4 separate regions of the Mus musculus genome follow, and regions 1, 3 and 4 are each reported to be linked to region 2. The links are microRNA targets in miRTarBase. Many come from high-throughput screens and were not tested one by one. Region 2 holds a microRNA gene; each other region holds the end of a gene's coding sequence.
What was found. The annotated mature microRNA mmu-miR-384-3p reads AUUCCUAGAAAUUGUUCACAAU and lies in region 2 at 2,510-2,531, opposite strand. An mRNA with a match to its seed (bases 2 to 7 or 8) in the 3' UTR can be bound and repressed. Matches are read on the target gene's strand: a 7mer-m8 pairs with bases 2 to 8, a 7mer-A1 pairs with bases 2 to 7 and ends in A, and an 8mer does both.

Region 1 (6,188 bases), not on the chromosome of region 2:
CACTACTACCAGAGATCGTATTTCTCAGTGATCGTATCACTGATGTTTCTGTAATGATGTGATGCCTAGTCGTTTTGATATGTTTTCGTCTCTGTGGTGGGTATTACACAAGAGTGATGGTACCCTTGCAGCCTGATTGCCTGGCACTGGTCAGTTGTGAGCAGCCTGACCTGTTACTGGCGATCAAACTTGGCTCCTGAAAGAACAATAGATGCTCTTAACCGCAGAGCCATCTCTCTAGCCCAAAGTTTCCCTTTAAAGGTTACTTGAATTATTTGGTAGAGGTGTGGGGGGGTAGGGAAGTCGTGGACACGGGTACAGTGCCTACGGAGGGCAGAAGATGGCATTGGGTTTTCTGGAGCTGGAGTTGCAGGGTATTGTGAACATTGTTTGTGTGAACACCATGTAGGGGCTGGCAACTGAATCTTGGTCCCCTGCAAGGAAGGGGTTTTGTACTTCTCGGTGTTGAGCCGGTGTTGAGCCATCTATCCCACCCCTTGCTTTGTTTTTTAAACTAGAGTCTCTTGTATCCCACACTGGCCTTTAACAACATAGCACATCCTTGCTATGTAGCCAAGGGTAACCTTGAGCTTTTGATTCCCCTGCTTCTTGTTTGCTGGGATTACAGACATGGGTGGGCTACGGTGCTCGGTAGATGCTGGGGCGGGAGGGCAGGGCGGGGGGTGAACCCAAGGTCCTCACTTATGCTGCTAGGCAAGTATTATCAACTGAGGTACATCCCCAGACCAACTGATTTGTTTTGAAGAAAATTCACCAGCATCTCAAGACATTTGTGCCAAAACTTGAGGTTTCTACTCTTGCGATTGGCCACTGTGGTGTGGTATAAGGCTTGGGTGTGGTCCTAGCCCCTGCAAGCCTGTCTGTTTGTTAGTTTGTAGGTGCCGTGCTCCACGTCTCATTCCTCATTCCAAGCTTTGCTTGAGGACACCAGCCACTCACATCCCCTTTTTCTATCTTTCCAGCTTTGCCAAAGTCATGCATGAGACGGTGAGAGATCTGGCTCCGAAATGTGACGTGTCCTTCCTGGAATCCGAGGACGGCAGTGGGAAGGGAGCGGCTCTCATCACTGCTGTGGCCTGTCGCATCCGGGAGGCCGGGCAGAGATAGAACCTTGGAGCAGACGGGACTTCCCTGCTTCCTCACTTCCCTGTTTTAAATTATGAGGAGATGGACCTCTTGGCATTTCCTTGGCAGAGAGGACCCCGAGAGACTGGGACTTTTGTCCCGATATTCACTGTAGAGTTTGATACCCAATCCTTGGCCTTCCTGAGAATCAGAAGTAAGGAATTGTTCACAAGTTGTTCCTGCTGGTCACTTCCTGGCATGTTCCCTCCCCTGTTCTACTTCCTGTACAGTCCTATGGGATGGGGACAGTCTTGCGAATATGGTTGCCTCATCTTGGAGCTGAATGCGACATTTATAGGTGGAGAACATCTTGAAATGTTGATACTTCTGTCATCAGATCAGGCATTGGGAGGGAGGGAGGAGGAGGAGGAAGAGGAGGAGGAGGAGGAGCAGTATGGAACGTCCCCTGGCCTACATGGCTGTCCCTCTTCAGCTCAACCTGTAGGCATCACCCTGCTGGTTCTAAACATTTGCTGTCCTGGAATAGAGGAACCCAAACCAAAGCTAGACTCGACACCCCCTTCAAGTGTCTGTGGCTTTACCTCACACGGCTGAACGGGTCATCTATGAGCAGCAGACCTTGGGGCTAGGGGTGGCTTTGGTAGCTTTTCAATTTCTTTTTTTTTTTTTTTTTTAATTTATGTTTGAAATTTATTTAGTTTGAAGCAGGTCCTCTCCTTCATTGTGTAATGGTTAATTATGTAAGTAATGTATTTATATGTTCCTTTGTTCTGTATATAGCTGGCCAGGGTCTCCTCTGACTCGGCCTTGTGAGTAGATAGATCATTGTAGTTCAGGATATGAGGTGGAGACACTGACTGGCTCTAGAAATACCTCATTCACCCGCGGGAAGAAGAGAGACTCGGAATCTCTTGGTGAGTGATGGGCAGAGCGCCACCAGCCTCCGGGCTTCACCTTCCTCTGCTCCGTGAGGTGTATGCGAGGCAGGGATGGAGACAGGGTGGTTCGCTGAGGGAAAGAAGCCACAACACCTGGCTGCTCCGTCCAGAAGCTTTCCTGAGTGAGGTCTCACCCGGGATGTTAGGCAAAGAAAACCAAAGGATTTGTTTCAAGTTCTCACTGCATAGAAGATGTGATTTTTAGGTCAGTCGGCGTTTCAGAATGGTTTGACAAGTTACAGGAAGCCAGCGAAAATGTTTTTAAAGTCACATCAGATCGTTGGAGCAGACCACATGAAGCATCGAGAGAACTCGACCAAACCTCAGGGGCGTCTCGGGGTGTTTGTACATTTATTTGCCCTCCTAGCAGATCCCACCTCCGGTGTGTCTCGTGTTTTACACGAGATGCACGCTGTCTGTCTGCTTCCTTGGACTGAGCTGCATCGAGCTGCCGACTAGCCTTTTTATACGAGTTATTTATTCCAGACTGTTTGAAGAACGGGAAGACACCAATGTCCTGTTCTCTGCTCTACCAACACGGTTCGCTCTGAATTCAAAAGTTCACTTCTCCCTTCAAAATATTAAATTGACCACCAATGTTAAACCTGGATAGGTTTAATAAAGAGGAAACAGCCTTGTAACACTAATAAACAAGATACGGGGGTCAAAAGAGAAAGACCAAGAGAAAGCTCAGCATCGTGGCAGCCATGTTTTGAACATCTTTCAGACTTGTGCTGAGCAGAGCCTAGTTACAACCGAACAAGCTGGTGTACAGTGAAATGAAGGCTGCCCAGGTCCTCCCGGGATGCCCAGAGGGAAGGTCGAGTGATTCCTGCCTGATACTGCCTGTCTGGTGTAGCTCCCTCAACCTGCAGTTACCGAAGCAGACCACTGAAAGCCGAAGCCACCTATAGATGTGTGCAGCACTAGGGGGTAGCCACCTATAGATGTGTGCAGCACTAGAGGGTAGCCACGGAGTACAAATGGATTCTGACTAAATTTTCGAATCTTGAATTTTAAACTTTAAAATCAAGCACCATCTAGGAAAGGACTTTTTTTTAAAAAGGGGTGTGTGTGTATGTGTGTGTGTGTGTGTGTGTGTCTAACTTTTAAGGAAGTTGGCTTTCAATCCAGAGCATGAGACAGTGTGCTGTGTTCCTAGTACTAGGCTGGCTACTGCCAGCACTAGGTTGACAGCTCTCTCTGCTAATGCTGCTTTGTGTGATCTTCAGTGAACCTTTGACTCATCTCATATCCCTGGGCACTCGGTCTAGTGAGCGTTTTGTCATCATGTACAGTAGAGAACTAGTTGAATTAACCATGTGATGTTAACTATTATTAATAAATTTTAACTTTTTTTTTTCAAAATATTCAGTGTGTGATTGGATCTTTTAAGTGGGGCAAGTTAGGACTTCCTGGTCAGTCTGATCAATCACTGATGGGGTCGATACATTTGGAGTGGCCTGTTATCTTTCAGTGTCCGTGGAGACGGATTCTGGAATTCTGAAGCCTGTGGGGGTCGGATCCTGTGATTGCTTTCTATGGCGGAGATAAGCGCCGTGAACGATCAGATGCTGAGAGCAGAAGCTGAGCCTCAAGCAGTAAAGACAGAGTGGTGTGAGTCCTTAAACCCTCTGCAGCTCCCAGTGACACATTCCTCCAACAAAGGCACACCCCCTAAGCCCCTCCAAACAGCAGCACTAACCGGGGACCAAATACTCATGAGATGGGAGAGAGAGAATGGGACTAGTGTTGAGCCTTGAACCCAGGGCCACCTGTTCAGTGGACTTCACCCCTGGTTCTCCCAACACCACTTTCAGATGGGGTCTCATGTAGCCCAGATTGGCCTCAGACTCCTGGACCAGTTTTAGCCTTCCATATGCTGGGGTTACAGGCATGTGCCACCACACCTGACCACACTTGTTTTATACTTTTTTGAGTATAAAACACTGGGTTGCTCAGTGTGTAGACTTGAACCCCTTGTAGCCCAGCATGCTCTGCGCTCTTTGGTCTTGCACTCTTAACCCTCCTGTGAGGATGCATTTATAGACAGTCCTTTTGTGAGACAGGCTCACTATGTACCCCCAGGCTGACCCGCATCTTGCTATGTAGATCAGGCTGGTCATAAACCTGGCAGGCCTCTTTATCCTTCCAAGAACTTGGAGCTACAGGTAGGAGCCACTACAAGCTAAAGAAGTGACAGGAGCAGGACGGTGAGACTAGGTCCAGACGGTCTGCCCTTGTGATCCCAGGGCTGGGGAGGCTGAGGCAGGTGGATCCCTGGAGGTCACTGGTCTGCAAGCCTAGCTTACCCAACAGGTTCCAGGCCATAAGAGACCATGTCTTGAGAAACAAGGTGGACAGCTGAGGAAAAACAGCCAAGCCCATCCTTTCACTTTCTCACATGCACCCGTGAGTGCATGTCTGGGACTTTTCTAGCCTTTACATTTCAGAAAACACTGCCTTAAAAAAGTGATAAGATTGGCAAGATAGTTAAGAGCATAAAGGAACTTGATATGCAAATCTGATTTGATCCCTGGAGCCCACCACAGAAGGGGAGGATTGGTTTCTCACAAGTTGTCCTCTGATCTACACAACACACACATCCACTCACACATGGAGGTCCAGTTTTATCCTACACTGAATCTGAGTCCATGATCAAGCGGGACTGCGTTTCTTGGTGCACACGTGGGTCCTTTGTTTTCCCTTCCAGCCTGGCTTTCTAAAGCTCATTCCACTGACTTAAGTATATGAGGATGGCCTTGAAGTGACTCTCCTGCCTCCAGGCGCTGGAATTCCAGGCATGTGCCACCACCCCCCAGCTTAGAGGCCTCTTTGGCTTTTCTGCCTCAAAGCAGATTCTTACAGATTCCCCACTCTGGGCCTCTTGAGTTTTGCAGCTGGCTTGTTCCTGTCTGTAACATCAGCCATACTGCTCAGCACAGTGTGGGCACCTCTTTCCCCAGGTCACTTTGGCCTCTGGCAGCGGGATGGAAAAGCTACATTCGTTATGTCCCATGGATGGGGCTGGGGCACAGACAGCTCCGCACAGACCCTAACATTGGACTAGCAGGGAATATTTTAGTGCGATTTAGGGTACATTTACCTGCGGTGAGGCCCTCAATGTCCCGGATAGCACGTGTATCTCTTTCCTAGGCTGACTCCCCATCCTCCCAAGGAAAAATTAGTTTCCTCCAAGCAAGCAGACTGCACTCACACTGCTCCCAGCTTGGAAAGCAGTTTCCCAGCCAAACCCCAGGCAGCCTGTCTCCCTGTTTTGTTTTCTTCGGCTGGGCCCCAGGTGCCACAGGCTGGAACACAGGCACTCCGGTGTTGAGAGCATTTTCTAGCCTTTGCACAATCCGCTTTTGCTTTTCTGTTTTCCAATTTCCCTCTGAGCCATGTCTCTTTTGTTCTTCCCTCACCATCGGCAGTCTGAGCACCCTGCTTGACGCCACCTCGTTTCTGTACGAGTCTGGATGAGGCATACATTGTTTCGTGCCGTCTCTGGTTTTCTTTATTTCCTTTTCTAAGGACATGGATGAAATACAGGGGCCTGAAAATGCTGTGTGCTCTAAACTAAATGATAGATCCTTAGCTCTCTGTGATGCTTTAATAAAAACACACAAAACATAGTTGGCTAGAGTCTTGTGTCCTCTCTCAAAGCAGGGTTTGTTTACATATTTCTATCTATCTATCTCTATCTATCTATCTATCTATCTATCTATCTATCTATCTATCGTGTGTGTGTGTGTGTGTGTGTGTGTGTGTACGTACATGGGGAGGCCAGAAGAAAACCTAGAATCAGCTTCCTTCTTCCATCCTGTGGGTCTTGGGATCAAACTCATGTTGTTCGAGTCATAGGCAGGTATCTCCACCCACTGGGCTCCCTACTTGTCTGGCACATTTTAAGGCCCATAGACATTGCTGTGTTTGCATCTATTTCATTACTTCTAGTAGCTACAAATGTCTTGTTCTGTGTATGTCCTGTCTGCCCATTTGTTTTCTCATGGGTGAAGATGTACTATTGACTCAACAATGGCTACACAGATACCGTGGCTTTAAGCCCCTTGTAATGGCTAATCTTGGTTGTCAACTCTGCTACATCTAGAACCAACTAGACCCCAAGAGTCCAGCACTCTC
Region 2 (6,188 bases):
CTTTGATTAGGAATTCAGTAATACTCAATCATGCTACAGTAATTTCTCGTGACTCATCCTTCTAATGACACATCAGAAGGGATGAGCCTCTGGTAAAAAGCCTTGGAGTATTTACTTTAACATGCTTATCCTTACTGATCCTGTAAGTAATCTACCCACATCCCAAAGTTAACATTCCCATCTTTTTGGCATCATCTGGCAGTGCTACCTTTTCATTTTCAGGGAGAAAAGGAATGACAGTATATTGTTCCATGGTTTTGAACAGGCTCAGAAGGAAAGAAATCTACAGCTCATGGCAAAGAGGTATAGGGAAACTGCAGGCAGAAGATTGCAGTCCCTGTCAATATGACATAAGCAAGGTATATTTGAAGGTTCAAATTAGGGACAGAGGTGTGGCAAGTAGAAAAAAAATGCCTAAAGATATAAAAGAATGTTCCATCACTTTTTTGCATGTCAGACAGCCCAAGAAACAGCTTTGTCTTTGGAAGCTAAATTTCTGCCTCAAATATTTTTGCTTAATTCCAAAATGCTTGTTCTACATATCAAACCTCATGTATGGTTCAAAGAGTATAGCAGCATGACTGGAGAGATTCCCTATGAAACATCAAGGACTGTGAAGATGAAGGTCCAGGTCTTTCATTCTGAGTTCAAGATGAAACACAAAACCTTCAAAATGTAAAGTTGGGTTGCCTGAACAATAACATAATGTTCAGTAGTGAGCCAGTGTTTATATTCTACTCGAAGCTGTTAAACCCACACTTGTACTTGTGGGGGTGGAGCATCTCCTGTAATCCAAGCATTGGCAGAATCTGAGGAGTAAAGGTAAAAAGATCAGCAGTACACAGAGATGTTGAAAAATCTGTCTAATCATACCTTTAAGAAATATAGCAAAGAACTTCTGTATTTGTCTTTCTGACAAGGCCTCCTCTTTTTAGACTTCCCTTACCTGCTGCATTGTATGATACAATCCTTCCACTATGTCTCCCACTATGGGTATTTTTGTTGTCCCTCTTCATTTCTTCTATTATTTTTATTTTCTGGACCAATATGTTATTCCTAAGGCACAGTAACAAAGCACTTAAGCTATGCCTGCCTATACAAGACACTCCAAAAACATCCATTCCTTTTACTTGCAACTTAGTGAATGTTATCTACAGTCTTTATCTTCCTATTGTCATACCCAATGCTGACTGTTCAATGGGTAGGAGACACTGAAGTGAATAAGCATATGTTTTCCCAAGGACAGCTAATTTCAAATAGCCTACCTAAATTTTCAGAAGATATATTCTAATTTTTGGTTAGAAAATATGGTCACCATAAGTGTAAGGCATTCTTGAAAATTACACAGTACATAGATCATTGCAATTCAGTTTGAAAGGCAAAATGGACTTAAGTGAATAGAAGCATTAAAAGAAGATACACCAGAGAGGACCAAAACAACTAGATGGACTTTGACAGACAGAAATGCGTTGGGCCTTGGGAAATGGGTCATGTCTGAATACAGTAGGGATGAGACTGGGGTTGAGTGTCATCATCTAACCAAACTGAGGACCATTTAAAATATTGCTCAGCTGTATATTACTATATCAGCCAATGTATACCAGTACAGATGCTGAAATCAATTGTCAAAAGACTTTGTCCATACTTTTGATATTTCTTGATCCAAAGCCCGCATAGCCAGCTCATTTCTTGGCTTCATCTGAGTGGGCTGCCAGGATGGTCCATTTCCACTAGTCAAATAGAAGTCAAGGGAATCCACTTAACTGTCTACATGCAAAGAAACCCAACCAGTGGCTTGATATGATCATAACACTCAAGGCCAAAACTCATTCAAAACTCATTCAACATTTTGTTTTCATTTCTAAATTGATTTAAGAAAAGATACAACCCACAGCTATGCTGATATAAACCAGTAGGCAGATCATTTCAAAATAGTAAATGAAAATAGATAACTATAAATAGTAATCAAGTATACATATTAAATAATGACTATGCAAACATCAACATATTAACATATAAGTGAACAGGGTAAGGTAAAAAATCATGACAGTAAGGTTGATAGATATTATTGTTTCTTTCCCATGACTTATGGAATTAGAATATCAAAATTTGTTTGGAAGTGAGGTTGGAGAAAGGCAATGAAGCTTTAGTTAAAGCTTTTGTAAAGGAGTAAGAAAGTTTAGGGCTTTGGCTCACCTAAGAAGTACAATTGCCTTTGCTCCTAATTATTGATTTTTTTATTTCTAATGCCTCTTAAAATTAGCATGTCTAAAACCCTGCATCACCAAAGTACTATCAAATAATGCAGATACCCTTGGGAACTATGGAAATCAAGTAGTAGTGCTATTATCAGAATTATTAACACCTAGACACATTAACAAATAAATAAGTAGAATTGATTACAAAAACAAATGTCATGATCCAGAGATGTTCTAGGAATGTACAGTTAGCTTCTTGAAGGCTTCCTATGTATTTCAGGAATCTTGCTAGCTGAATATATGTTACAGGCATTGTGAACAATTTCTAGGAATGACTTACCAACATTATACACATTGCCTAGGAATTGTTTACAATTCCTGATTTAACATTCCGCTGCAAGAGAAATAACCAGTTAACTTAAATTTGATCATACACTGGCTTCAAAGCAGAAGGCAGCATTTCTGCAGGCCTGCCATGTAATGGGAAGATTGACTTTTACATAAAACTTAGACAATGGCTAAGTAGCTGGGCTGTTCACGTTGAAGAGTCACATGCAGAAGACAATGCATCAACTGACTGAAGAAAAATGCCAAGGAAAATTCCTTTCATTATTTTTAAAGTGAATTAATTTTACAGCAATCACAAATCCAAACATATAATGCATAAATATTTCAAAAATGAATTAAAATATGTAAGTCTACATTTCTTTCTTTGCACTATTTTTGAACAAATTGCCTACTAGCTATTTTTATTTTTAAATAGATTAGGATCTGTACACTCAAGATATGTACTGAACTGTCTGAAGCAGTCCCCCTGAAAATGTGTTCTGATGTTGCCATTGTTCAGAATAGTTTTAAAATGCTGCTTTGAGAACTAACTGCCTTCCGAGCCAGTTTATGAGTGAGACAGTAACAAAATCACATTGTTTTCTTATCACATTTTAAAACTTAGCTATACAGCATAGTAACTACACAATTTGATTCAACCAGGTTCATCAAAGAAATCAAAAATCCAGCCACATTGTTCCTAAAGCCCTGTCCCAGGCCACCCCGAGAACCTTTACTTAGGCTGGATGCGAGACAGTCTTTCATTCTCCACCCAAGCACCCTAAAGTCATGTCCAGTTTTTGAAAAGTACTGGCTAACATTTGTTTCAAAAATCTAGACTAAACTTTTCCAGTGAACTTTCATGATACACTGTGTTTGTCCAGATGAGGCAGCTAGACTGTAAGCTTCATGACAGCAGTTCACTGCCTTATTCCTAGCACCTATAGCCATGTTTTGGATGTTGTCATTGCTTAACAATATCTGTTGAATGGTAAATGGATGGTTGTAGGGGAGGTGATGATGGATGTATGGATAGATGGATAAAGTTCACTAAAGAGTTATTACAGATATATCTTGGGATATTGTTCTGTAATAGAGTACTTGCCTAGCATATACAAGTTCCTGGGGTCATATCTCCAACATAATAAAATAGATACCACGACAAAGTTGATGGTTATATAGAAAGTTTCCCTTCTAGGAGTGAGCCCAGGATATCACTGTTGGTCAGTAGCTAAAAATGATTCTGGTGGTGGTTATAGCATACACCTGGATTGTGAGCTGGTTCGCTGATAAGAATTAGAAGTTATTGCCTTGCCTGTTTTGGACCAGTTGCTCATACACATTCCAGTCACAGACTATCCTCTTATACAGGTCAACTTGCCAGCAAACAAGTGCCACGGGGTTTTACTTTCAAGAGGATCCAGTGATCCATTATCTAAAGTGATTTCAACTAGGTTATACAGCAAACTAATGAAGGATAGTAGAGCTTTGGTCTGAGATGAGGAAAATAAACTACAAGAACTCTGTACTGTTCTCATTCTTTTCCTTTCAATCCAGAATTATAATCCTGTGATCTTCTTTCTCAGCATGCTTACCTTCTCTATAAGCTAGAAAAACAAAGCTGAGGCCCTCTCCAGCTCATCATCTAACTTGGCAATAGATCCTGTTTCCTGTCTTAGTGGCAGCAGTGGCAGCAGTGCTAATAGTATAAAAGTAGTAGTAATAATAAACATTAAAGCTCTGCTGGTGATAGAGTTGATAGTGGTGCTATACTTGCTGAGTGCTCAATACATGGTATACACTCTCTTTAAATGCAGTTTTTAGTTCTCTTGACAAAACAATAGAGTTAGCCCTGTTGCTATTAGTTTTGTAGTTTAACAAAGTGAGACTATGATAGGTTAACACACAAAGCCAGTCAGGGGTCAAAGCCTTTGCCTGCCTTACTTTTGTGCCAGAGAGTGAATCACAATAGCATGTTGCCTCTTGGTATTATGTTCTGCCCTCTGACACATCCTCCCATGGCGGACAATAAAGATGTAAAAGAAAGTTAAACATACACCCTCGTTCAAACCTTAAAGTGATTTGGTCCTGCCTTATTGTATTTGATAATAGTAGCTGCAAAGCAACCCATTCCTAGAGCCCTAACATCTGTTTTAAGACCTTGAGCGGGTATGTTTTTCTGGAATATCCCTTCAGAAATGTTTTTTTGAACATTTGTTCAAACAAGCTAAAGTCTGGACACCCTCTGATGCCTTTCTCAATTGGTTATGCGCCAAGTACGACATGATCTTCTGCATGTGGTTTGAGTTAGGTGGAAGTGTTGCACATGCCTGGGATACTGGGCAAGCCCACTAGAGCTGCCCCTAGACACAGACAAGCCTGACTCCAGCAGACTCACTGAGAAGATGGCAGAGCTGTAGTGACTGGGATGGGAACACCAGTTGGACAGGTCACCCCATAACCCTCATTAAGCTAGACCATTTGTATTCTAAGTATTCTTTCCCCCTTTGCCTGCATATTTAATTGTGTTTGGGATGGGTTCCAAAATACCTAGTGAACTTCCCAAGCCTTATGACTTGAGAGTTTCAGGAGCTCTGAGCCTGAAGCAAGCACTAGGCTAGTTGCTACAGTCTGGCTTTCCTGTTGCAAACCACATGAGCTCTACCTGCTGTGCCATGAGATCATGAGGGAATTGATCAATGCCTCCTCGTGCACATAACTGGTAGGGACTATAATCCCAGACAGTTTTACAACTTTGGCAGGATGGAGGTACACACTGAGGATAGATTGAATGTCACCTCTTGGCCTGGGTTTGTGGAAGATGGCTGAAGAGCCCATCCGCAAAGCTGCCACATGGCCAAGTCCATGTGAGTGATGGAAACACAGCTATGGGAAGAGTCCAAGGCCAGTAATGAGGGAGAAGACACTCAAACCTACGGGGAATCCCTGAGTCCCCAACATCTGTGAGAAAGATCAGATGAGGCTCTGGGGTAAAAAACAAAAGAAAGCACTTAGCAGTTCTAAGTGTTCACAGAAAGAAATGAAGAATACAAGTCTGCCATGGGCATGGGAGAACTCAGGTGTCAGACCTGCTTGAACATTCAAGTTCAGAGGTACAGTATTTCCTTAAGCCAGTATGAGCTCCTGAAATTGCCTCCAAATATTCTTGAAAAACAACCCCTTCTTCCCTCCTTTTAAAGTAAGATGCATATGTACTGCTGAAAACTAACATCATCTCTCCATACACTTAGCCTAGCAACTGGGAGAAAAGAATGCTAGTGGTTACATGGGATTCTGTGTTTTAATTGACTAGGGTAGATAAAGTTTGGAGAAAACAAACCAGGTAAGGGTTAATCACAGCGTTTGCAATGAGAAGTCATGGAGGCCTAATAAAAAGTACAGAAGTGCAATATGGGTGAAGGATTGGTATCATGAGTTAGCAACCCACTAGATTTATCAGGGCAATGGAGAAAAAATGTAAATGCCATTTTTATCATTTATAGTGATAAGAGGAAAATAGTAATGCCAGTAACATGAACAGTGAATTCAGGAAAAGAACAGATCTTAGGAGAAGAAAATATGTTTCAAATGCCAGACTCAGCATTAGAATACACATTTTAAAATTATTTTCTGGCCTGGGAGAGAGGTCAGGGCTAGACACAA
Region 3 (6,188 bases), not on the chromosome of region 2:
CTCTGTAGAAATAACAAACTAACCACCCAGGGGCGATAACGATAGCAATAAATACAAAGTAACAATTATTCTCACATTAGCTTGGGCAACCTTGACTAATGAAAACAAACGGTCCTAAACTGTGGAAGCTTGCCTGCTGACTTGTGAATTTCCTGGGGACCTGAGGCCAGGGAGCCTGCCTCCACCCTCTCTATAGTAAATCCAGGTCCTCAGGTAAAACTTAGGAAAGAGACGTATGAACAAAACTCAGCCAGCCAGGACCATCTTAACGATAAAACATAGGCTTGACTGGACAATGGAGAAGCTAAAGGTGGAGAGAGCTTTTGTCTGGTCTGATTTGATAGCAAACTAGAGGACATTTAAGCCCTTGCCCCTGACTTGGTTTGTCAAGTCACTTAGAAAGGGCTATGGTCAAAGTGGTTCCCCAGAGGCCATCTGACATGCTCAGGTCTGAGCCACCCACTGACCTCATATGTTCTGTGACAGGCTAATGTAATCTCTAACGTGAAAATCTAATAAATGCCAACTTCTGGAATCTCCTGACCACTAGTGGAGAACTCTACTCCATGAACACTTGGTTTTATGTTGTATAAAAGTATCTTTAGGCTGGGTGTGTAAGAGGCACACGAAAGCATAGGGGTGCAGGCCTGGAATCCCAGCTTCTGTGAAGGCAGGAAGAACTCAAGACCAGGGTTGCCTGGGCTGCAGAGGAAGTTTGTGACCAACTGTAGTGACTTGGTATAACCCTGTCACCAAAGAAAAAGAGAAAAGAAGACTGGAGATTTGGCTCAGGGCTAGAATGCTTGCTTAGTATATGTAAAGTCCGAGGTTCAAGGCAAAAATGAATATTAAATGAATGTTATGCTTACACTTGAGACCCAATTCCAATTTGCATAATATATGCAAATATCCCCTAGTCTGTAAAACACACCAAATCTGAAATGTTTATGGTTCCAAACCTTACAGAGATAGGTATTCATCCTGTATGGCCAGTCTTCCACATTCTAATGCAAGGGTTAGACACGCATCTTTGTCTGTTTTGCTATCTCTAGACCGGTTCCTGACGTCTGGTAGATACTTAATACTGTTGAGAGAATGCACGGTCCAGTGGAGATGTAGGAAACCCCAAGAAGAAGCAGCTCACTTGCTCCCCTACAACTTTCTTTTCTCTGTACCCCTCCCTAGATGTGTCTGTCAAGGTGACCTTGAAACACCAGGCTCAGAAGCTGAAGAAGAAACAGACAAAACGGGCCAAGCACAAGATCAACCCCGTGTGGAACGAGATGATCATGTTTGAGCTACCGGATGACTTGCTGCGGGCATCCAGTGTGGAGCTGGAGGTGCTGGGCCAGGGCGAGGAGGGGCCGAGCTGCGAGCTGGGCCACTGCAGCCTAGGCCTGCATGCCTCGGGCTCTGAGCGCAGCCACTGGGAGGAGATGCTAAAAAACCCACGCCGGCAGATCGCCATGTGGCACCAACTGCACCTGTAGTCGGCCACCTGCCACCGGCCACTGACCGTCTTTCTTGGACACAGTCATCTTCCAGGCTCAGCTGTCAGTCATCCCTCGTGCTCTGTCCACATGCCTATACCCAAAGACAGATGCAGACGTGTTGGCTGAGGCCAAGACCTCATTCCTCTCTTACTGTATTCCCAATACTAAAAAGTGAGCGGTGGCGCCAGGACAGTGAGTGGGACTGGCACTCAGAAGACTGTATCATGCTCATCTGTGTTATGGAAAAAGATATGTGCCAGGTACCCTCAGTCGGCAGCCCCTGCTCACATTGAGCTGAAGCAGTGGTTCTTAACCTGTGTATCACAACCCTCTATCTCCAAAAAATATTTACATTATGATTCATAACAGTAGCAAAATTACAGTTACAAAGTAGCAATGAGAACAATTCTGTGGTTGGAGATCACCAAAACACAAGAAACTTTCTTATAGGGTCACAGCACTAGGAAGGTTGAGAATCACTGGCTGGCCAGCAGGTCTCTGGGCCACTGGGGGGTCATGCCACACTGATGTTCCGGTGGAATACACAAGCCTCTGTCCTTAGCTAGCACAGGGGTTCTGGAGCAGAGCAGGAGGGGCTGCGCTTGATAAGATCCCTTCTCCCCTATCCAGGCAGCCTTTCCTCTTGATCTCCGGGGGCCCAGCACCAGGACAGTGTGAAGGCAGGAACTCTCTGCTTACTTTATTTCTTCTTTTTTATATTTCTGCTGTTCATATTCCACTCTCGAGCTACATTGTGTGTTTTGACTGTTTTATTTAAGGGATTGGAGTGGGTTGTGTTTGTTTTTTTTTTATCACACGTAGAGTGCCCGTTCCCTGGCAGGCCTAGGTTGCCACTCCTCTGGAGTGTCTGCGGCATTCTGAGGACAGCTGTCATGTCACCCCCCCCCACCCCCAAGCTGACTCCATGTGACAGACCTGTTCTTCTCAGTATGCCTGTACTTCAGGACGAAGTAGCTCTGAGCTTGGCTTGTTCCATCTGGCTATGTAAATGAGGAGGTAGATGAACTTTAAAGAGAAAACGTGGTCTCTTGATAACATGCCTCCCTCCAGTTTGGGGGACATGTCCTTTAACTTGGAAATAACAAAAAGCTAGGTTTGATTGCCCCTGTTGATATTTCCAATAGATGCCCCACTAGGAATCAAATAAGTAGCTAGCTGCAGGGGTAGATACTTGTGAGCCGGAATTCGAGTTGTCATTACTTCCTTGCTCCACAGCGCCTCAGTGTGGCCACCTATAGCACAGCACCAATGTCATGGGAGCTTGCCAGTCCAGCTTCAGGAGGTAAGCAAGAGGCATCTTAGCGGGCATCAATTGTTACTGGTCAGTTGGTGGCACTTCCTGGCTCCTCCGTTGGCTGTGCTTCTTCTCCAAAACCTCCTCTGTAAATTGCTCAGAGATGTTAGACTGGGAACCAAAAACTTTCAGTCACCTTTTACATCGGCTTAATCTGTTTCCAGCCATTCCTGTAAGTCACCTCCGAATCAGCTTGGGAAGGAACCTCTCTATGTCTTTGCCAGGGAGTGATTTCTGGAAAGAGGTGGAAATAAAGTGAGAGGCCATTCCAGGCTGGGCTACTGCTGGGAGGTTAGGAGTTCACCCCAGTCCTCTGTGAATCCTCTCCCCAGGACAACTAGGCATCTATTTGTTGAGTGTTTGTCCACCAAGACCGTGCATGTGTCTGTCCATTCTGATTAGAGAAGGCTCTGGGGGCGAGTGAGTAGCTTATCACCTTAACGGAAACATCAGATAAGAGGAGTCCGGGACTGCTGTTCAGGCGGGCAGCTCTCAGATGTAAAGGGGCCCCGGGGGAAGGGGCAGTGTCTGGCCTGAACTGAGGTGGGAATCTTTGGAGGAGAAAGTTGGTCCTGTGCAGTGTTTCTACCCTTGCTGTTTCCTGTTGTTAGATGCTGCGTGTTTGTGATGCCATTCCACATAAAAGCACAAAAAGTCGCATGAGACATCGTGGTCACATGTCTGGTTACACTTTGGAGCACAAAATCTTACAGTGGTAAATAAATCGTTTTCCAATCGGGTTGGCAGCCCAGTGTTTCTCTTTGTTCCTTTACATTAATATTTTAGATGTATAAAATTCAGAAAAAAAATCTCGTGTATCAAACACCCATGAACCTCTGCCAACTTCAATAAACCTTGACGACCACAGTTGAATTTTCTTCTTGTGCCCTATACTGAGAAGACCAGGATCTTACATTCTGATTTGTTATTCTGAGCCTTCCTTTATATTTTTACTAAATGATCATTTGATCCCTGAGCACTAGTGAGTATTTGTGTGTTTCCAAGTTTTACTTCAATTCTTAAATTGCATCACACATTTTTTTTCAACATTAAAAATTTAAGCTTTATGCAGACATGTGGCTCTAACTAACTTCTCTTTCACAACTGTATAATATTCCACTGTATGGATCTGCCACAGCCCATTCTATTGATGTACATTTAAAACACACACACTCTCTCTCTCTCTCTCTCTCTCTCTCTCTCTCTCTCTCTCTCTCCCTCTCTCTCTCTGCCGTTGTTTCCCATGTACATGTATCGTCTCTTGGGGGAAATGTCGAAAAGTGAGTGGAGCTGCTAGGAAAAATAGAAAGAAGCGTGTGCATGTGTGTGTCTGTGTGTGGGGAAATGTTTGTGAGTGTAGGTGTGTGGGTGTGGGTGTTTGTGGGGGAGTGTGTTTGTGTGTGTGTGTGTGTTTGTGTGTGTGTGTGTGTGTTTTGGAGCTTTGACTTCATTCCTGGTAAGGAATATCCAGTGGGTTCTTGAGACTCTTCAAGACTCCCCCCAGCACCCCATCAGTGGAGGATCGAGGAAACAGAGGACAGACAGAGGCAATGGCCTCCTGGAATTCTGCCACCCTAAGCTACCCAGGTGACCCATCTCAGATCTGGCCTCTGAAGGAGGTGTCTTGAGAGTAAGAAAAGGATATTTGATTTTTATTTGAAGGGTTCACTTTATCTTATTTCTGAGACAGGGTCTTTCTCTATATTCCTGGCTGTCCTGGAAAACTCTGTGTAGACCAGACCGGCCTTAAAAATCACAGCTATTTGCCCACTTCTCCCCGAGTGTTGTGATTAAAGAGATGTGTCATCATGGCCGATCAAATTGGAAGGTTCTTAACCAGGAAAGACATCCTGTCAGTCATATGATATTTTCACATTCAGTCCTCACTTTTATACTTCCTATTCCCATTATTACGTCTTAATGGCAACTGGGGGCATTTGTATTTCTGTAATAAGATGGGCTAAGTGGACTTTATTCTACACAGCCAAATAGTATTCACTATAATTCACAGGTAACTGAAGACAGCTCACTGGAGCCCCAAACTAATGTTTGCTATGGCTATCTATAAAAGAGAAACGGTGGGGGTTACTGAATCAAGGGCTTTCCAGTGAAGTGACCTCAACAACAAATCATGCTCACCTCAGCCTGGAGCTGAGTCAGAGCCATGACCATGTAACACTATGTGGTAACTGTCCCTGGCCACTATTAGATCCCCAAGCTAGGTAACTGCCTCTGCACCTAAGCGCTCATATCTATACAATTATTTTGGACTAAATGACCTGCAAGCCCCTTCCAGCTTTAACATTTTTGTATTTCTGCTTCTTAGGGCCATTGCTATGATGAAACAACATGACCAAAAGCAACTTAGGGAGAAAAGGGTTTATATTTGGCTTACATATCGCACACATCACAGTCCATTGAGGGAAGCCAAGGCAGGAATTCAAACAGGGCAGGAACCTGGAGGCAGGAGCTGATGAGAAGGCCATGGAGGGGTATTACTTACTGGCTTCGTCCCCATGGCTTGCTCACCCTGCTTTCTCATAGAAAGAAGGGCTAGTGTCAGGAGTGGCACCTCTCACGATGGCCTGGCCATCTCCCATCAATCACTAAGAGAGAAAATTCCCTACAGGCAGCCTTGCAGACTGATCTCATGGAGTCGTTGTTCTCAACTGAGGTTTCCTCCTCTCAGATAGATGCCTTTTAGCTGTGCCAAATTGGCATAAAACTAGCCAGCACAGCCTGGTAACAATTTGGTTCTCACAGATCTTTAGTTTACTGTCTCCTGTAGAAATTAAAGGAAACCTGCTCTCTCTGCCCAGCACTGGATAAAGCTTTGGCATCTGCTACAGTTCCTCTGAAGGCTACTGATGCTCCCCTGAGCATGGCACCTGAGGCTCTGAGAACTGAGTCTCATCTGTGTCTGACTGCTGCTGGGCACTTGTATTTTTGCACCCAAGAGTTCTTACATTTTAGAGCTAGTTGGATGCCACCATTTGGGCAATACCCTTTGGAGCACATCCATCTCCCTCCAGAGCAGACATCTGCCGGGAATATAATCAAGAGATGGAAAGGTTGGGTGCTAACTTTGTGCTGAAGAATGTTCCTCCCCACCCCCACCCCTGAATGCCCCTTGCAAGTGAGTCAGCACAAATGGTACCTGATACTGGGGAACTGTGTAACTAACTTATAATCACCAGATGTAATTGTCATCTAGGAGGCTTACTGTTGAATAAGTTCACCCTTTCTAGTTCTTTCTGAGCTCTGGTTTGCTGGTTCAACTCAGATGTTCTGGCTCAAAATGCCTCTCCAAGCTGGCTGATTCAAACTGGCTTCTCTCAGCTTCTTGCTGAATTGTTCTGCTTGGGAAACCTGCCTCTAAA
Region 4 (6,188 bases), not on the chromosome of region 2:
GAAAAGAAGACGAACAAGAGGGAAGACTAAGCCATGGTCATGAACTCAGAGACAAAATACCGCTACGCCCTCCCAGCTCTTCTCTAAGATCCATGGAATTGAAATCAAATTTCCAACAGGACTGTAAAGGGCTTTCGCCCTCAAGTGCAAGTCGACAGTAACTATACCGTGATATCTCACAGGATAATGCCTTCATCTGCTGAGCTGTCTCACCAGCTCTTAATCTATTTATTTTAATTTTATTTAATGAATTTACTCATTTTATTTATATCTCACAGTGTGTACACTGTGGAGTTATTGTAGGTATACGGTGTGCTGGTGTAAAGGTGATGGGATGGAGAAGGCAGTCCACAAGAGCATCACCAGGACAGCCAATGACTGAAGAGGATGGCGCTCCAGCAAGCAGTTATTGGGCAAGCAGTTCCTGTGAAGCAGTTCCAGTTAGACAGTTCGTTGTTGTTGTTATTTGTTTGTTTTTAAATCAAGTGTGTAAAAGAAAACCCAGAAATTCTTCATGTTATATGTATTTCTGTTCAGGCATGCACTCTAGTGTAGAGGCCAGAGATGAGGTAGAGTGTCTTCCTTTTATTTCTTCTCTACTAGGGATTGAACCCAGGGCCTCAAACTGTGCACTGAGTTCCTTCCTCGGCCCTCTTTGCATTTTACTATTATGATTATGTTTTAAGATGGGGTCTTATGCACCCAACACTGACCTCCGATTCATTACATAGCCAAGGGTGAGTTTACATTCCTGATCCCCCTGCCTCAGCTTCCAGAGGGCTGGGATAACAGGTGTGTACCACCACATTTTATGGGCTACTAGAGTTATAACACAGGGTATCATGCATGCTAAGCTGGAACTCTACCAACTGAGCTACGTACCCAGCCCTTTCGCCTACCATAAAAGCCATTTGGCCGTGTCTATATTGAATCGGTTAAAGCCACTGCTTGGTCTCTCTACTCTAAGGTGTAGGGCCCACAGTAAGAAGTGTGGAGGTCTAAAAAGACAGATACAAGCGTAGTTCCACCAAACTCTTCAAGATTTCTTTTTATTTAGTTATGTGTCTGTGTGAGTATATGCATACACTGGTTGCACAGACCTGTGCAGACAGAGGCCAAAAGATGTTGGATCCCTCAGAGCTGGAGATACAAATATTTGTGGCATTCCCAGTTTGTTCCATGGGTGCTGGGACCCAAATTCCATCCCTCACGACTGCACGGAAACCACTCCACTGAGCCATCCCACCAACACCAAATGTATACCTAGCCCAAAATTGGAAGCCAGGGAGGTCAATCACAACAGAAGAAAACATAAACAAATTGTAGTGCAAGACCAAACATGTTCCCTCTTAACAGAGCCTAGCCAGACCACTGTACATATATTGGTGTATGGAGTCTATTCCTGCTGGAGGGCATCACTGTGATTAATTAGCATTGCCAAGGGAACTCCTTAATATTGCATAAAATAAAGTTTGTTTTGGTTCCCCCTTTAAAAAAAAAAAAAAAAAGATAGGTTTTCCGTGGCCTCAGCAACCCAAAACGTGCTGCATACGGTTTGCATGTTTAATTAGCGATCCTTCTGTGTCTGCAGTTAGCACCATGACAATTAATAAAGTAACTCCTTTAAAGCTCCATTTAGCTAGCGGAGGTGCACGGCCAGGTATAATGAACTCATCATGAATAAGTCATGGCTGCTTAACTATCTATTTGTTGCTAACACTTTACCCAACAGCTCCCACCTGAGCACAGCTAATGTCTCCAAGCCAGGCCCCGCTGGAAGCTGACAGTAAACCAACTCCTAGGAAGTATGCTTTTAAGCAGCAGGTATATGGTGCAGTCAGGGATCTTCTGAGCTTAGATGTCATCAGAGGTGACTGTCCTGGGAGCCGTGTAAATGGCTGATACATCTGGAAGGCCCAGGGCAAGGTGGGTCTCAAACTAACCCCTCACCTAGAGATCTTGTTAAAAGTCAAAGTATCAGCCCCAGACCGCAGCGCTCCAGACACAGGTGATCTGGAACAGTGATTTTGCTTTTCTAGCAAGTTCCCACATGGTGCTGATGCTGATGGAGGGATCGCTCTCCAGGAGCCCCCTCCCCTTTCTCTTGTGCTAGGGATGACTTACGATTTCTGGGATTCCCGAGTCCTTTCTATAGATTCTAACCGGTTTGGTGTAGTTTTTGGCATTTGAAACTGGGTCTCCGGAAGCTCGTGCTGACTTCAAATTCACTGGCTGCATAGCTGCAACAGGCCTTAAAATTCTGATCCTCCCGCCTCTGCCCGACTAGTGCTGGGATTAGGGGTGTGCACCCCTGTGCCTGACAGAATGGCAGTGAGTTTCCACAGTCCTCGGTCTCACTTACCACCTTGTTTGAGGCTGAGCCTCTCTAGGTGTTTGCCACTGTACCTTCTATGCCAAACTAGTTGGCCTGGGAGTTTCGAGGTAGGTGGGGAGGGGTGGTGAATGGGGACGGAAGGATAGGGGTCAGTGAGAGGTGGATTCTTTCATCTTGACAAATGAATGTGGGGACTCCAGCCACTTGTCATTGTGTGGATTACAGGTATCCAAAGCGGCAAGGGCTTTACTTGCTGGACCACCCCCAGCCCACACAAAGGCATCCTTTCTTCTGTTCATTTTCTGAGATTCTCCTAAGTTTTAGTGTAGATTGTTGTCTATACGCAGATGAGGGCAAGTAAAATATAAGGCTAGATTCTGTGATTGGACAGTGGAAAAAGAAGGTGGGCTGAGAGTTTTGCAGAGAAACAGAGAGACAGACAGAGACAAGGAGACAAGATGGAACCTATAGGAGAGGTAGATGAGCTAGATCCACGTGGCTTGAAATGGCCACAGGTAGCTATGGATAGCACAGAAGAGCCGTAGAGTAAGATAAGGCAATTGGTCCAATCAAGGTGGGCAGCTTGTATCAATAACTCGCGTTTTGAGTTCTTTGAGTGGGCATTTTGGGGGTTGAGAATTTACTGTTATAAATCTGACTGATCAATTACAAGCACGAATAAAGAGTTTTCTTTATTCGTGGCTGGGGGGGGGGGGGTTAGAGACTAGCCACAAGGGACAGATGATTGGGAATTTGAGCAGTTCAGCAGCAAGCGAGCCGAGCGAGCCTCGGGGAAGTTGGGGATAGCCATGGGGGAGGGGAGACCACCGTGGCTGGAGAGTAGCCGGAGACAGAGTAGATTGTTTTTTAATAATTACAACAGATGACATCCAACATATAAAGTGAAAAAAAAAAGAAAATTATTTTTATTACATTTATTTGTTTGGGGTATGCATGTATAGGTGTGGATGTGTGCATGCTATAGCACCTATGTGTACGTAGGTCAGAGGACAGCATGTAGGAGTTGGATCTCTGCTTCTACCATATGGGTCCCAGGATTCGAACTCAGGGTGTCAGCCTTGGCAGCAAGCGTTTCAGCCACTCAGCAAGCCCCCAACTCTTTTTTTTTTAGCTCATTGAAATTACTCTACGTTGTCCCCCAGCATGAACTGTTTCATTTTGCTGACCTCACAGCCCATACGGTCCTACGTACCCCAGCCCTGCAGCACAGCCTCCAACAGTTTTCAGTCTACTCATCTTTCCTAGTATTTTTTTTTTTAAAGATTTATTTATTTATTATATGTAAGTACACTGTAGCTGTCTTCAGACACTCCAGAAGAGGGAGTCAGATCATGTTACAGATGGTTGTGAGCCACCATGTGGTTGCTGGGATTTGAACTTCGGACCTTCGGAAGAGCAGTCGGGTGCTCTTACCCACTGAGCCATCTCACCAGCCCCCTCATCTTTCCTAGTATTATTACATCAGGAGATGGACTTTTGCATGTTGCTCAGGACCATACCCTGAGCCAAGCAACTTCCATCTTCAGGAGTTCAGCTGTGCGCACTTGCCAAAGATCATGCCAGCTGGGTCTGGCGACTGTTTACATCTCCTCATAGAGGGATGGGGAGATCACGGGGCCTCCTCTGAGAACCCAGCCACTCACTACCTCCTATGTATGCAACATTGCCCTAATTGCACATGGCCTCAAAGAGGCTGGAGGACACAGGCCAGCAGAGATTAGGGGAGCTGGGCTCCATCTGTGCCACTATAGGAAGGTCACCATTGATGCTATGTAAAAGCCCTTCTGGTGCCACATTTTAGGGGATGGAACCCACACCGCTGTAAGGAAACCTTCACCTCTGCTCTGTAAAGAAGTCTGATAACTCATTGGTGCCCTAGGGGAGCTTTGGTGGTGGTGTGCCTTGGTTGGTCTTTGGAACCTTAGGGGGCGGAGAGAAAATGTTTTTTGGCAACACAACATTCTACACACCTATTTATTCTTCTAAAGGGCTGTGAAATGCCCTAAGGTACCCATACCTCAATTGAAATGGCATTCTCTGGCTCCTTATCAGTGCACCTCTCACTTTGATTGGCAGTCATGATCAAAAGAAGGGGCAGCATCCCTATCTGCTGTGGGGACTGAAGATGCACACACAGGCAGAGTTCAGAGCCCACCATCGGGAAAGGATTCTGGAGACACTACCGCACCTCCATCAGGTGTCTTCCCTTTTGGGTTCACACGACGACTGAACCAAGCTCTGTGCATCTGCTGTTGAGTTGGGTTGGGTCGGGTTCTGGGCTCTAGAGAAGACACTTGTGGAACAGTGGCCCCAAGCCCAGCAGGAGCATCTCTAGGCGGTCAGCGTGCCCTCCAAGACAATAACAGCTCCGCCCTTTATGTCAACGCGCCCATCAGGTCGCAGGGAAATGTCCAGCTCCCCTCCTCGGCGGGAACACTGAAAGGCTGAGGAGAACACAACCTGGTGCCAATCAAGAGCATTTCCCCTGGGATTTACCACCCAGGGCAGGGTTGACTATAACAAACCCAAGACGCCTCCCAGGCCACTTTCCAGGATAAATGCCCCCCTCCCTGTGTCCGCGGCCCCTCCCACCTCCACCCCATTCTCCTGCAGCCCCAGAGTTCCACACACAGTGGCACACACACTGCCGGACCTTCCTTCCTGGGCCTCTGAGAAGGTCCCACCTTCAGCTCTGATATGAATAGAGTGAGTTTGTTTCTTCATTGCATATTAAAGCAGTTGTATGTGCCAGGTCACAAAAGAGGCACAGCCCTAGTCTTCCAGGGGCTCAGAAAGTCATTATACTCACCCAAAGGAGAGAAAAGGGGTTGTCCTTCTCAAAAGTTACATAGTAAGCTAATTATACTCATCAAGCACTTATTAAGCACTTATTTGTGTTTGGGGAGGCAGGGGTGAAGAGGGCTGGGAGTGGGAGATCATTGAAGGGGAGATGTTACAGGGAAATTTCACATGAGTCATAATATCTTAGTATTTTTTTGTTTTGGTTTTCTTTTTTTTTTTTTTTCCAGAGCCGAGGACCAAGTGGTAGGCAAGCACTCTACCGCTGAGCTAAATCCCCAACCCCTGGTTTGCTTTTTTCAAGACAGGGTTTCACTGTGTAGCTCTGGTTGTCCTGGACCACACTCTGTAGATCAAGCTGGCCAAGAGTTCAGAGATCCGCCTGCCTCTGAGTGCTGGAATTAAAGATGTGAGCTACTACCAACCACCTCTTACTACATTTTTAAGAAGCTAATGCATATGAGAATAGATACAAGCCTAAAATGAGGCAAAGAAGAGATTTGAGCTGGGCATAATATTGCATAATCCCAGCCCTCAGGAGGTATTTGAACTGGGTATAGTAGTGCACAATCCCAGCCCTCAGGAGGTATTTGAGCTGGGTATAGTATTGCACAATCCCAGCCCTCAGGAGGTATTTGAGCTGGGTATAGTATTGCACAATCCCAGCCCTCAGGAGGTATTTGAGCTGGGTATAGTATTGTACAATCCCAGCCCTCAGGAGGTATATGCAAATTTGAGGTCAACCTGGTCCACATAGCAAGATCTTGTTCCCAAAAGTTAAGGGATGAGGCTATGGCTCTATGGTCGAACATTTGCAAAGCCTTGAATTTAACACCCAAGCATCCAATGAGAGAGGAGGAATCATCCTACCTCGCATCTCTTTCTTCCTGAGCTGCTGGGACCAGTAACTGCTGAGAACGGTGTGTGCAGATCCTGAAAAGACAGAAGCTCTGAGAACAAGCACAGAAAACGGAAATGGTGTGCCCCTCATTGTGTAAGTGATAATCACTGAGCCAGTTTGACTGAACCTTGG

Region 1: miRTarBase lists Hk2 as a target of mmu-miR-384-3p. Seed matches in the 3' UTR shown: 8mer at 3,086-3,093.
Region 3: miRTarBase lists Syt13 as a target of mmu-miR-384-3p. Seed matches in the 3' UTR shown: 7mer-m8 at 1,954-1,960 and 7mer-m8 at 2,647-2,653.
Region 4: the mRNA of Pbld1 is a reported target of mmu-miR-384-3p. Seed matches in the 3' UTR shown: 8mer at 3,800-3,807 and 8mer at 3,594-3,601.

What each region holds. Positions count from the first base shown.
Region 1 is chr6:82,722,250-82,728,437 of GRCm38, reverse strand. It overlaps Hk2 (hexokinase 2), which reads left to right. Exons shown (of 18, transcript NM_013820.3): 18 at 984-3,413. The coding sequence ends at 1,128. Among named protein-coding and RNA genes, the nearest start is that of Gm32480, 10 kb to the right of the region's middle.
Region 2 is chrX:105,341,783-105,347,970 of GRCm38, forward strand. Mir384 (microRNA 384) reads right to left here and starts at 2,587; the gene lies at 2,500-2,587.
Region 3 is chr2:92,952,178-92,958,365 of GRCm38, forward strand. Syt13 (synaptotagmin XIII) reads left to right here. Exons shown (of 6, transcript NM_030725.4): 6 at 1,186-3,874. The coding sequence ends at 1,490. Among named protein-coding and RNA genes, the nearest start is that of Gm13791, 35 kb to the left of the region's middle.
Region 4 is chr10:63,074,961-63,081,148 of GRCm38, reverse strand. Pbld1 (phenazine biosynthesis-like protein domain containing 1) reads right to left here. Exons shown (of 9, transcript NM_026701.3): 8 at 6,026-6,088; 9 at 3,189-4,800. The coding sequence ends at 4,688. Among named protein-coding and RNA genes, the nearest start is that of Pbld1, 16 kb to the right of the region's middle.